Linked DNA regions of Coturnix japonica. The protein of the gene in region 1 purifies or fractionates together with the protein of each later gene. This does not show direct contact. Links are inferred from orthologs where the notes say so. Each region holds a gene or a part of one and is shown on either strand. Other genes may lie near its edges.

Region 1 (3,758 bases):
AGCGCTGTGTGTATTCCAGCAATAATTCTGTGGATTATGAATCACTTTCTTTGATCCGATTCTTTCACAAGGTATGACCCACGACACGACAAATGGTTCCAGATCCAGTCCCTACAGCAAGAGCATGCTGACCTCAGTGTTTGTGTTGTGGACAATTACATATATGCCGTCGCAGGCCGAGATTACCATGAAGACCTGAGAGAAGTGGAGAGGTATGACCCTAAAAGCAACACTTGGGAATATGTGACACCTCTGAAGAAGGAGGTAAGGAGTGCATTAGCCACACGCACTAATACAGTTCCCCAGTTCCTAATTTCATCTTTTTGGTGCTTTTCTCATGCATAGCTTTCATTTTGCCGATAATCACTTGGGAAGCAGAAGCTTCTGTATTTAAGATAAACATACCAATAAAGAATAATAACAATGTATAACTTTAATTTTGGTGTTTAATGCTTATTTTTCTTGTTTTCTTCCTGTTTTCCCTTGCACCTCTGTTGCATTAATCCTTAAAATCATTTCAAATTGAACATGTAAGTCAGGGAACTTCCCATTCCTCCTGGGATATGTAAGCCATGAGTAGTACAAGCTTCTTATCTACAGTCCTGATAAGCATGCTTCATTCCCAGTTAGAAGAAATCATCAAATACTAGGAAGGTACCATAGGATCACAGAATGGCTTAGGTTCAAGGGATCTTAAAGATCATCTAGTTCCAACCCCCCTGCCATGGGCAGGGTTGCCAACCACTAAATCAGGCACTAGATCAGTTTGCCCAGACCCCATGCAGCCTCCACAACTTCTCTGGGCAGCCTGTTCCAGTGCCTCACTACCCTCTGAGTGAGGGTACATCAGTTTCTATATACTATTTAGTTCACAGACTAACAAGTAGACAAGGGAGAGAAGTAATTATATGGATGAGTTTCTAATTAAGAAATAGTAAGGAATGACAACCCACTGTAATTTTAGAAGTTTGGAAATTCTGGGGTAATTAATTTAGAAATTCATGCTTTCAACATAATCACCTTGAAAGGAGTTGGCTATAAGAAAATAGAAAGTCCTTCCAGATGTTAATATCTGTATAACTATAACATAAATGTCACTTATTTAATGTCTATTCCATACTTTGAAACTGGGAGAAATACACAAACCTCGAACTCTTGCTTTCCCACATGGTTATGCAGGTATATGCACACGCTGGAGCAGCACTGGATGGGAAGATGTATATTACCTGTGGGAGGAGAGGAGAAGATTATTTGAAGGAGCTGCAATGTTATGATCCAAAGACTGACCGCTGGGAAGTTTTAGCAGATAGTCCAGAGAGACGTGCTTGGCATGGGATGGCTGCACTGCTGGGAAAGCTCTATGTAATTGGAGGAAGCAACAATGATTCTGGCTACAGAAGGGATGTTCACCAGGTGAGAGCATATCATACCTCTGTCTTGGAAGAGTCTGTTTCTTACAGATGCTTGCACACTGATGTCTTACTCCTCCTATGTGCACAAATAAAACTGCTGAGCAACAGCATCAGCTCTCTTCCACTTAATTGCAGAACTTGCCATAATTTATTTTCTGCTCTCTTGAATGCATTATCTAAGCATTAAAGCTGTAGCATTTGAGATTCATGTAAATTCTAAAATATCTTTGCTGAATGACATTCAATCCCATGCATATAGCCCATAAGTAGCACATCAGCTGAGTTTCCTTTACCTTGCCTTCCCATATGCATTTTTTCCTAGGTTAAGAACTTTGGAATTAGCAGTGTACAGTCGCAGGACAGGATTTGTTAAGGATACATTGGAAAGTGCTGTGAATGGATTGGATGGCAATTGTATAATGCAATAAAATGTACAGTACCTGATGGGCAGCGATGACTGGAGAATTTTCTTGTGTCTCATTCTGACTTCTGTAACTGCTCAAGACATGAAAAAAGACCTAAAAATAAAAAAATAAAAATAAAAAGGAATCGCTTTGATAAAGCCAATGAAGGTAGCAAAATTTAACCTAGTTAAAATATACCTAAGTAGCTTGCCGTACAGCCAGGCTCTGTCACTAAGATCCAAGTTCAGTTTGGGCTAATGTATTTTTTATTTTTTACAGGTTGCCTGCTACAGGCCAAGCACTGATCAGTGGACAAATGTATGTCCGCTTCCTGCAGGACATGGAGAGCCTGGTATTGCTGTCTTAGACAACAGGATCTATGTCTTGGGAGGCAGATCCCACAACAGGGGAATCCGCATGGACTATGTCCACATTTATGATGCAGAAAGAGACTGTTGGGAGGATGGACCCCAGTTGGAGGATGATATTTCTGGGATGGCTGCCTGCGTCCTCACCTTGCCCAGGGCTATTTTAATGGATACAGAGAAATGGTTCTCAGAATGGCACACAGACCGCATGAAGTATCACCTTGACCTTCCGTCAGAAGTTATGAGCGTATCAGACTGGGAGGAATTTGATAATTCAAGTGAAGATTAAAAAAATGTAATATTTATTTTTTGCCAGTAGTTGAGGAAATTAAGTCTTGAAAGAAGAAAAAAATAATCACAAAGATTTTATATGTCTTTCTTATATCCATAAATATTTAAAAGGAATAAGTATTTAAAAGTTTGAAAAATAAGTGTTCTGCACAAAATGACATTTGCTGTCATTATCTGCTCATCTGCAAGTGTTTTGCACAAAATGTCACTACGAGTCAGTATCTTCTTACCTACCAGAAAGCAGGATTTTTAAAGTAACCACAGAACTGCCATTTCCTCCCCGATAAAGTAGGGGGATTCTTTTCCTTTGAAGGAGGCTTCTCTCAACTTTCAGCATGGACAGAGAAATAAAGAAGGCACAGAAAGCTCAGTTTGACTGGCTTCTTTCCTTCCAGCTTTTAGTGTGAAATAGCTTTCTGAGTCTGGGGAGATTTGTTTTTCCTAGTAATTACACCTTATAGCAAGCCTAACATAGGAAGGTAAGAACTAACATCTCCCTCCTGTGCCAGGCGTCAGACAGCTTGATCATTTCTAGCCAGACTGAACATACAGAAGCAGGAACAGTAGTAAGAAATCTGAACCTTCATCTCATCTGGGCACGCAGCCATCCTCATAACTGGGTTAGAGTCTGTGAACCAACACCCACTCCTGAATTTCTATACTACAGGTGCTGACAATGCAGCAGAAAGAAAATTTCTAGAAATAGCTCTTTGTACAGAATATGGCAATCTCATCATTCAGCTGTCAGACACATTTCTTCACAAACATAAATTAATTAATAAACCTTTGTCAGAACTTTTTTTTTTTCCTTTTAACTACTGTCACAGTTTTCTTAACCATGATGTGGAATCTGAGAGATGGAGTTCAATTAGATCCCATGTTACTACATTATTATCAGTGAAGATACACCTGGTTGGGGAATGGGCCTATTTTTTATTCACTCTTTTAATATGCACTTTACAGAAGGATAAAGAGTGCAGATATGGGTTTGCTTCAGATGAGGAAGGTAAGTAATAAGCAGATAACAGGCAGTAGTGGAGATGTCACTTATCCATGACCCTATGGTAGCTGAACTAATGACAGGAAAATAACAATCACCACAGCTCAGAAAGAGAAGACACAGAAAAGCCTTTGTTTAGGAAGCCTAAATGATTCACTTCTGACTGTCATTTTGCCTGACAGTAGTTTAGAAACTGCTTTAAAGTCCAAGCTGTTGTGATACATGGACATTAGGGGATCCCTCCCACCTGGAGGGGCAGGGACTAATGGGTGCCACCAGAAAA
Region 2 (4,060 bases), on another chromosome or scaffold:
CCTCTTTGGTGCGATTGGTGAAGAGGAGACCAACTTCACCCCTCAGGTGCTCGCTGACCTGTGATAAAGGAGCCCAGAGGTGCTGAGACTCAGAGTTAAGGCTGGAAATGCCCTCATCACCTCCATGGATGAACCCCCCCCTACGGACAGCTGTGCCGGTTGTTTCTAACCGAGTTCCCTCCCACCTTGTGTAAGTTCTCCCTGTATTCGCTGCTTGGCTCCCGGCCCAGCGCCACCATCATCACTTTGTTCTTCCCGAAGAAGATCCTACAATTCAACCAAGAGGAAGATGATGATGATGATGATGGTGATGATGATGGGGTTGACCCCTCTCCATCACTCCCCATCCCGTTGCTCACCTGCTGTGTTTCCATGCGTTCCTCACGTCCTTCAGCTTGTTGTTCCTCATGTTGGCCACGGAGAAGATGAAGATGTGTTTGTAGGTGTCCACGCATCGCCGCAGCTGCACGACAGCGGTTAGCGGGGCCTAATGGGGTGGAGCGGGGCAGCGCGCACTGGGCACGACTCACCTCCGTGATCAGCGCTTGTTTGGCCTCCAGTCCCTTCTTAGGCGTCCGCGTCAGGGACACTGCGGGGAGGGGACGTGGTTCACAGAATGACCCGGGTTGGAAGGGACCTCAAGGATCGTGTAGTTCCAACCCCCCTGCCTGGCAGGGCCACCAAACATACACCTTTACTAGATCAGGTTGCCCAGGAGACCCCATAGACCCCATAGAGACCCCATAGATCAGGTTGCCCATGGCCCCGTCCAACCTGGCCTTGAACACCTCCAAGGACGGGGCATCCACAACCTGCCTGGGCAGCCTGTTCAGGCCTAAACCATCTCTAGTGAAAGAGCTTCCCCCTAACATCCACCTAAAATCTTCCCTCTTTTTAAGCTTAAAACCATTTCCCCGTGTCCTGCTATTGTCAGCCCTTTCCAAGAGCTTAATCCCCTCATGGATGTAGATTCCCTTCATGTACTGAAAGGCTGCAATGAGGTCACCCCGCAACCTTCTCTTCTCCAGGCTGAACAAACCCAACTCGCTCAGCCTGTCCTCATAGGGGAGGTGCTCCATCCCCCTGAATGGTTAATGGGGAAGGGGAGGACGGAACGCCGCGACATGAGCCGCTCACTCACCCTTACGGTCCCGCTTGGATTTCGGCATGGCTCCCCGTGCTTCGAGGCCCCCCGGCACCGCGGGTGCTGCTGGGGATGTGCGGGCTGCCCCGCTCGGTGCCTCCCCGTTCAGGCGCAGCGCAGGGCAGCCCCGTGATGCGGGGAGGTCCCGGCGCTGTCATGGCGGCCGGGCTGTGGGTGCTGCTGCTGCCGCTGGCGGCCGCCGTGTACGAGGATCAAGTGGGGAAGTTCGACTGGTGAGTGCCGGGCTGTCAATGCGGGGCTAAACCCACGGCTCGTGTCCGTGTAACGCTGCCCGTCCCCGCAGGAGGCAGCAGTACGTGGGGAAGCTGAAGTTCGCCTCGCTGGAGGCCTCGCAGGGCTCCAAGAAGCTGCTGGTGGGAACCGAGAAGAACGTGGTGGCTGCGCTCAACTCCCGCAGCGGAGACATCCGTGAGTGGGGCGGGGTGTGGGTCACAGCCCACAGTGCTGTATATCCACTATGAGGGTGACACCAAGCCTATGTGTGCCAGTTATCAGTGCTCCTTCAGGGGGATGTTGGCCCTGAAATCCAAGCTGCAGCTCCCGCAGTGAGGACATGGCTCTTTGCAGTGAGGACATGGCTCTTTGCAGTGAGGCTCTTTGGGAGGTCCCAGGGCCGTGGGTTTGAGAGCAGTCAGCAACATCCTCATTGTGCCCATCTCCTTCTCGCTCTGTGTCTCAGTGTGGCGCCATGCAGACAAGGCCGGCCCTGAAGGAGCCATCGACGCGATGCTGATCCATGGTCAAGGTGAGCACATCACACACAGCAGCTGCTCTGCTCCCCGTGTTGGATGCCCTGGCTCTGGGCTCAGCTCCCTTTGCTCCCTGTGTAGATGCCATCACCGTATCCAGCGCCGGGCGCATCCTGCGCTCCTGGGAGACCAACATCGGAGGGCTGAACTGGGAGACGTCGCTGGACACGGGCAGGTAGCGCTGGGCACCAGGGATAAGTCAGTATTTAGTTAGTAAGCTTAACGTACCTTGTCTGCAGTACAGCAGTTTGGACATCAGGCTTTGAAAATCTGGATGGTTGTATCCAACAGCTCCCCCTGTTTGAGAGCCCACAGATCATTCTCTAATCAACCATCTCTGACCTGTGCTCAGTTTCCAGGCCGCGAGTCTGGTGGGGCTGCAGGACGCGGTGAAGTACGTGGCAGTGCTGAAGAAGGCGGCCATCTCCCTGCACTACCTGTCCAACGGGCACCAGAAGTGGGTGGAACAGCTGCCTGAAAGGTGAGGATGTATTTGGAGCTGAAGAAAGAAAGTTCAGACTCACAGCCCAACTCAGGATGCTTCATGTCCTTGAAAAGCTTTGGAAGCAATAAGACGAGCAAACGATGCCTCGTGCCCTTTGTTTCTCGCACAGTGAGGATACTCGATACCAGATGTTGTATTCCCGTGGGGCTGGAGTGATCCATGTGCTCGGAGTTGTCCCCCAGAGCCATCTGAAGGTGTTAACGCTCAGTGTGGAGGATGGAGAAGTCATAGAACAGGTAGTTGTGCTCGATTGTGGATCCAATGTGGCAAATTTGATATGAACAAACACAGTGCATGGAGTTGTGTATGTAAGTTCATTCCTTAAACATCATCATGCTGTTGACGTCTTCATCTCTTGATGTCTCTCTTGGCAGACCAAAGTAGCAGCCCCGTGGCTGAAGAGCTTAAATGGAGCCTGCAACGTGGTGGGGGAGGCAGTGCTGGTGTGTGCAGACGCAGCCACGCGTTCGCTCTATGTTTGCTCTTTGGAGACGGAGCAGGAGATGAAGCAGATCCCGCTGCAGGTGAGCAGTGCTGAGAGGCTTCGTGTGCAGTTATCCAGCTGATTTGGTGCCTGGCGGTGCTGTCTGTTGCTGCTGATACAAGGAAGCTATTAGTTTCACTGGGGAAGAAGTTTCCATCAATGCATGTGCTTGTTTCCCTTCCACAGTCGCTTGACCTGGAGTTTGCTGATGGTTTCCAGCCCAGGATATTGGCTACTCAGCCCAGTGTGATCAACGCTTCGCGCACTCAGTTCTTCCTGCAGCTCTCTCCGGGCTCCTTCTCCCTGCTGCAGTGCAAACAGGGGCTGCTCAGCCACCTGAGGGACTTCCAGCAGGTAACCAGGAGAAAGGGCCAACACAGCTTAACACTGCTAACAACAAACACCCCTTTTTATTGTGTTTTATCATTTCTTGCTCCGTTCTCTTTTTCCCTTTTTTTCAGGCAGCCCTGGTGAGCTTTGCAACTACTGGGGAGAAAACTGTTGCTGCTGTGCTGACCTGTAGGAATGAGCTGGTAGGTGCAGCTCTGTCATCTGAATGTGGCTTAGAGTGGGTTCCACGCTTATTCCTTTGCAGGCCTGCATGATGAGTAGCTTGGGAAAGAGTGGGATTTAATGATCTTTTCAGGCCTAAGAAGTAATGCATGCAGGTCTTGGTTACATCCAGCCTAGGCTCACCTTGTCTAAGCTGTTGTGTCACGTATACGTTCACTGCAGTAGATTTCAGTTCTTACGGGCACTGAGCTGAGCACAGCCTCGTTTTTAGCATAACTCTCTGCTGCTTTTAAAGCCAAGCTGAGATTGCCAAGCACACAAAGCAATTCATTTATCACGCTCTCATGGCAGTGTCAAATCACGTTACCTTCTCTCATCCTCATTGCAGAAACCTGGGAGTTCTGATGGCCTTCATGGAAGTGCTCTGGAGGATTCCCAGAAACAAGTATGAAAAACAAGTTCCCATATGCCATAAAAGTTCTTGACAGTCCTTTTTCTTCCTTTGCTTGTGGGAACAGAGCATAGAAGGTGTTACACCTTGGTTTTGGAGGCTGATGTTTCACAGCACCTATAGATAAACCATCTAAAAACATTTTGAAACCATAATGCTTGCTCACATGAGATTCTGCAGCAGAATTTGACGT
Region 3 (4,192 bases), on another chromosome or scaffold:
AACCAGAAACACGTTTGTTTTATTAGGGCGGTGACTTCACGCGCCACAACGGCACCGGGGGCAAATCCATCTACGGGGAGAAGTTCGCCGATGAGAACTTCATCCTGAAGCACACGGGGCCTGGAATCCTGTCCATGGCCAACGCCGGCCCCAACACAAACGGCTCCCAGTTCTTCATCTGCACCGCCAAGACCGAGTGGTGAGTGGGGAGGGGGCACAGCATCACAACGTGGGGACCCCGGGGGGAGGCAGCTGCATCCCCAACCCTGGTGGCACCCAATGGCCTCCAATGGTACTCAGTGGTTTCCAATGGCACCCACACCTCTCTGCAGGTTGGATGGCAAGCACGTCGTCTTTGGCCGCGTGAAGGAGGGGATGAACGTGGTGGAGGCCATGGAGCGCTGCGGCTCCAAGGACGGCAAGACGAGCAAGCAGATCACCATCTCCAACTGCGGGCAGCTCTCGTAAACCCTGTGTCTTAACGCCTGACATTCCGCCTGCAGCCCGGGCAGCTCCCGGTGCGGCCCCCCCTCCCCTCGTGCTCCTGATTTACTGCTGCGTTTCTACTGGGTCTCGCCGCATGTGCACAGTCCGACCGGACTGCAGAGTTATTATGAGTCTAAATAAAACGAGTTAAACCACCGCACGGCTGCTCTTCTTTGACGTGGGGGGGTAGAGTGGGGGCCCCTATGGGATCTGGTTCCCTTCCTGCCATGAAGTGGCTCACTGACCTCAATAGGGGCAGATGTGGGGGGTGTGAGGCCCCCTCCTCCCCCTATTGCTGTGCTCAGCCCCCCCGGCCCCACAGGGGCTGCAGTGCTGCTCCTGCACCTCCCAGCGTGGGGAAACTGAGGCACGGGGCCTCGGGCAGCTTCTTTAGGGACCTGAGGGGTGTGAATGGGGGGAGCCCAGGATGGGGAGATGGGGGGGAGTTGGGGCAGAGGGGGTTTGTCCCCCAGGTTACTCGGTGGGGGGAGAGGGGAATAGAAACCCCCCCTGGATATCGGTGTGGGGGGTGTCCCCCACTATAGGGTTTGTGGGGGTGTCCCCCCCATCTGTCCAGCACAGCAGGGGTTTGTGTATGGGGGGGTTTAGAGACGTCTGCCCGCTCTGGGGGGGAACCTGAGGATCTCCCAGTGTTCCCAACGTGGGGGGGGGCAGCAGCGCCCTATTGCTGCCGTGTTGTGCTGTTCTCTGCCTGGGACCCCTCCACATGCGGAGGCTGTTCCCGTTCCAGCGGGATATGGAGCCGGTTCCCGGGTCGCCCCTCCCCACATCCCCCCCCCCGGTTCGGTCTCGTGCTGCGGCGGCGCGGCCCGGAACTCCCGTTGCCCGGAACCATTGTGCTCGGCTCAGTTCCCCGCGCAGATGAGCAGCGAGGAGGACCGGAAGCGGCGCCTCGCACGGACCGGAAGCGGAGCCGGGCGGGCGGTTGCCGTGGCAGCGGGCCGGGTCCGCCATGGAGGCGCTGACCGAGATGTACGACCAGGCGCTGCTCGGCATCCTGCAGCACGTCGGCAACGTGGACGACTTCCTGCGAGTCCTCTTCGGCTTCCTCTACCGAAAAACCGATTTCTACCGCCTCCTCCTGCGGCCCGGGGACCGGCTGGGCTTCCCGCCCGGCGCCGCGCAGGCCATGGCCATGCAGGTACCGCAGGGGCCGCCCGTGTCACCCGATAAACGGACCCCCCGGCACCACGGGGATGAACGGGGCCAACAACGGCAGCGCTGGGAGCTGGCAGCGCATTGCAGCACAATGCAGCCCAATGCAGCCCATTGCTGCCCATTGCAGCCCATTGCAGCTCATTGCAGCCCATTGCAGCTCATTGCTGCCCATTGCAGCCCATTGCTGCCCATTGCTGCCCATTGCAGCCCATTGCTGCCCATTGCAGCCCATTGCTGAGAGCTGGCAGCGCATTGCTGCCCATTGCAGCCCATTGCTGCCCATTGCTGCCCATTGCAGCCCATTGCTGCCCATTGCAGCCCATTGCTGCCCATTGCAGCCCATTGCTGCCCATTGCTGCCCATTGCTGCCCATTGCTGCCCATTGCAGCCCATTGCTGCCCATTGCAGCTCATTGCAGCTCATTGCAGCCCATTGCAGCCCATTGCTGAGAGCTGGCAGCCCATTGCAGCCCATTGCTGAGGAGCTGACAGCCCATTGCAGCTCATTGCAGCTCATTGCAGCCCATTGCAGCCCATTGCTGCCCATTGCAGCCCATTGCTGTGGAGCTCACAGCCCATTGCAGCCCATTGCAGCCCATTGCTGAGAGCTGGCAGCTCATTGAAGCCCATTGCTGCCCATTGCAGCCCATTGCAGCCCATTGCTGAGGAGCTCACAGCCCATTGCAGCCCATTGCTGAGGAGCTCACAGCCCATTGCAGCCCATTGCTGAGAGCTGGCAGCCCATTGCAGCCCATTGCACAGGCAGCAAAACCCTGCGGCCAGGTCTGTCCTGATGGTGCAGGTGTAGGCAGTGTGCGATGTGATACCCACGGTTGGAGGCACAGCAGTGCGGCCCCAGGCACGTGTTCCTTGTCCTCTCCCTGGCAGCCAACTGTGTTTTTTGCAGGCGTTCAAAGTGTTTGAGCGGATGGCCCGGCAGGACGATGAGAAGCGCTGCCGGGAGCTGGAGGCAAAGCTCCGCAAGAAGGAGGAGGAGGAGGAAGCTGCCGCGTCTGCCGAGAGGGTGAGAGTGGCCCCGGCTGCACATGAGGTTGAGGTAGAGACCACGGAGGAGCCCGAGCCCTCGCTGGACGCGGGGGATGCGGAGGGGCCGCAGGATTCACCCACAGCCCCGGCAGCAGCAGCCGGCCCCGTGCCAGCAGAGCCCCCTGCACAGCCCTCACCTGCCGAGCTGCCCACGTAAGGCTCCCCCCTCGTGCTGCTTTCCTCGCCCCGCTGGCAGGGGCTGGCAGGGTGGGGGGGTGGAAGGGGTTGCGTGATCCCCCGTGGGAGGCAGAGCTGTGTTCTGTGCTGGGGGTTTGGGGTTTTGTGGCTGCGCTGAGGGCAGGGGGTCGTCGTGTCTCTGCGTTGCTGTGTGCTGGAGCTGTGCACACTGAGGTCACTGTTCTTGGAGGCTGAATGGGAAATCCAGATGCTGTCCCGCAGCCTTTTCCTCATGGAAATTTGGGGTCTGTGCCCCATATGTGTGCGGTGGGAGCTCCCAGAGCCGGATGGGTGCTCTGCAGATCGCTCTCATACTAAATATCCGTGTGGGCAAGTGGCAAGGCCAGCATCAGCATTGGGTGTGCACAGTTTGGGAGCTCCAGAGGTCTCTGCCCTGGCCTTCAGCTCAAAGCAGAGCCAGCTTTGAAGCTACATCAGACACTGCTCAGAGCTTTATGTACCCTTTCACTGAACTTGGGGGCTTTCAAGCTGGGCTGAGCAGCCTCACGCTCCAAAAACGTCCTTGCTCCAAAGTCCCCCCAGCGTGTCTGAAAGCTGCTGCCAACCAGCTCCCCTTCCCTGCCAGGGTGAGATGGCACAAAGCCCGTGGGTCCTGCACTGATGTGTGACAGCTCCAGGTCCTGGAAAAGCTGGGGTGGGATGGATAGAGAGAATGGAGTGAGAGGGGAAGGTGCCCAGCAGCTCGGTCAGGTGAGAGTGAGAAGGCTTTGTGCTGAGCTCAGCCAGCCTGACCTGTGTTGCATGGGGTAAAAATAAGCCAGAAGCCACAAGTGATACGACCTGAAAAGCCACGTTCTGTTGTCCCATGAAGGAAATTGTCCCTGGGGCAGTCTGACACCTCACAGAATTAACGAGCCAAAAAAAAGCCCCACTGGAACCAACAGAGCTCTTGTGCCTTGCCTCAGCTGTGACCTGCGTGTTCCCAACCTGGGCTGGGGAAGGGAATGGGGCAGCGTGGCTGTGGGATCCAAGTAGGGCAGAGCAGGCAACAGGTTGCTGCTGTAGTTGGTGTTTGTGCCTCTGGGGGGCACTGGAGCCCCCCGAAAGGCAGCAGGCATCCAGGGCACCCCTGACAGGCTATTAATAATTGAACCAGCTGCTTAATTCTGCACAACCCCTCCTGAGCAAAACCCCGAGCCGCCAGCTTGGAGACAAGGGGCGCATGAATAACATGCAGCGCCAGCAGCAAGAATGCAGAAAAGAGATTAAACAAAAACATTTTTCTTCTCCCTTCCCCCCCCCCTCCACCCCCCTCAACTGGTAAAGGAAACCATCACCACCAA

The links. The genes of interacting proteins can lie anywhere in the genome.
Region 2: the proteins of KLHL22 (region 1) and EMC1 purify together in Homo sapiens (co-immunoprecipitation; 3 studies listed by BioGRID and IntAct, with this or other methods). This does not show direct contact. The link is inferred for Coturnix japonica from reciprocal best matches to the Homo sapiens genes KLHL22 and EMC1.
Region 3: the proteins of KLHL22 (region 1) and NUDCD3 purify together in Homo sapiens (co-immunoprecipitation; 3 studies listed by BioGRID and IntAct, counting the BioPlex papers as one, with this or other methods). This does not show direct contact. The link is inferred for Coturnix japonica from reciprocal best matches to the Homo sapiens genes KLHL22 and NUDCD3.

The regions. Positions count from the first base shown.
Region 1 is NC_029530.1:7,309,771-7,313,528, reverse strand, and holds the end of KLHL22 (kelch-like protein 22), read left to right. Parts: intron 1-71; coding exon 72-264; intron 265-1,146; exon of another isoform or gene 1,147-1,179; coding exon 1,180-1,413; exon of another isoform or gene 1,414-1,930; intron 1,931-2,095; coding exon 2,096-2,473; 3' UTR 2,474-3,258; downstream 3,259-3,758. UniProt on the Homo sapiens protein: Substrate-specific adapter of a BCR (BTB-CUL3-RBX1) E3 ubiquitin ligase complex required for chromosome alignment and localization of PLK1 at kinetochores.
Region 2 is NC_029536.1:4,062,381-4,066,440, reverse strand, and holds the start of EMC1 (ER membrane protein complex subunit 1), read left to right. Parts: upstream 1-1,260; 5' UTR 1,261-1,276; coding exon 1,277-1,377; intron 1,378-1,448; coding exon 1,449-1,573; intron 1,574-1,844; coding exon 1,845-1,910; intron 1,911-1,995; coding exon 1,996-2,089; intron 2,090-2,266; coding exon 2,267-2,395; intron 2,396-2,528; coding exon 2,529-2,655; intron 2,656-2,793; coding exon 2,794-2,943; intron 2,944-3,089; coding exon 3,090-3,257; intron 3,258-3,364; coding exon 3,365-3,436; intron 3,437-3,804; coding exon 3,805-3,861; intron 3,862-4,060. Other genes in the region: MRTO4 (mRNA turnover protein 4 homolog), read right to left, coding at 1-58, 186-267, 360-463, 531-589, 1,142-1,169. UniProt on the Homo sapiens protein: Part of the endoplasmic reticulum membrane protein complex (EMC) that enables the energy-independent insertion into endoplasmic reticulum membranes of newly synthesized membrane proteins.
Region 3 is NC_029537.1:104,876-109,067, reverse strand, and holds the start of NUDCD3 (nudC domain-containing protein 3), read left to right. Parts: upstream 1-1,392; 5' UTR 1,393-1,459; coding exon 1,460-1,648; intron 1,649-2,571; coding exon 2,572-2,864; intron 2,865-4,192. Other genes in the region: PPIA (peptidyl-prolyl cis-trans isomerase A), read left to right, coding at 27-199, 333-468.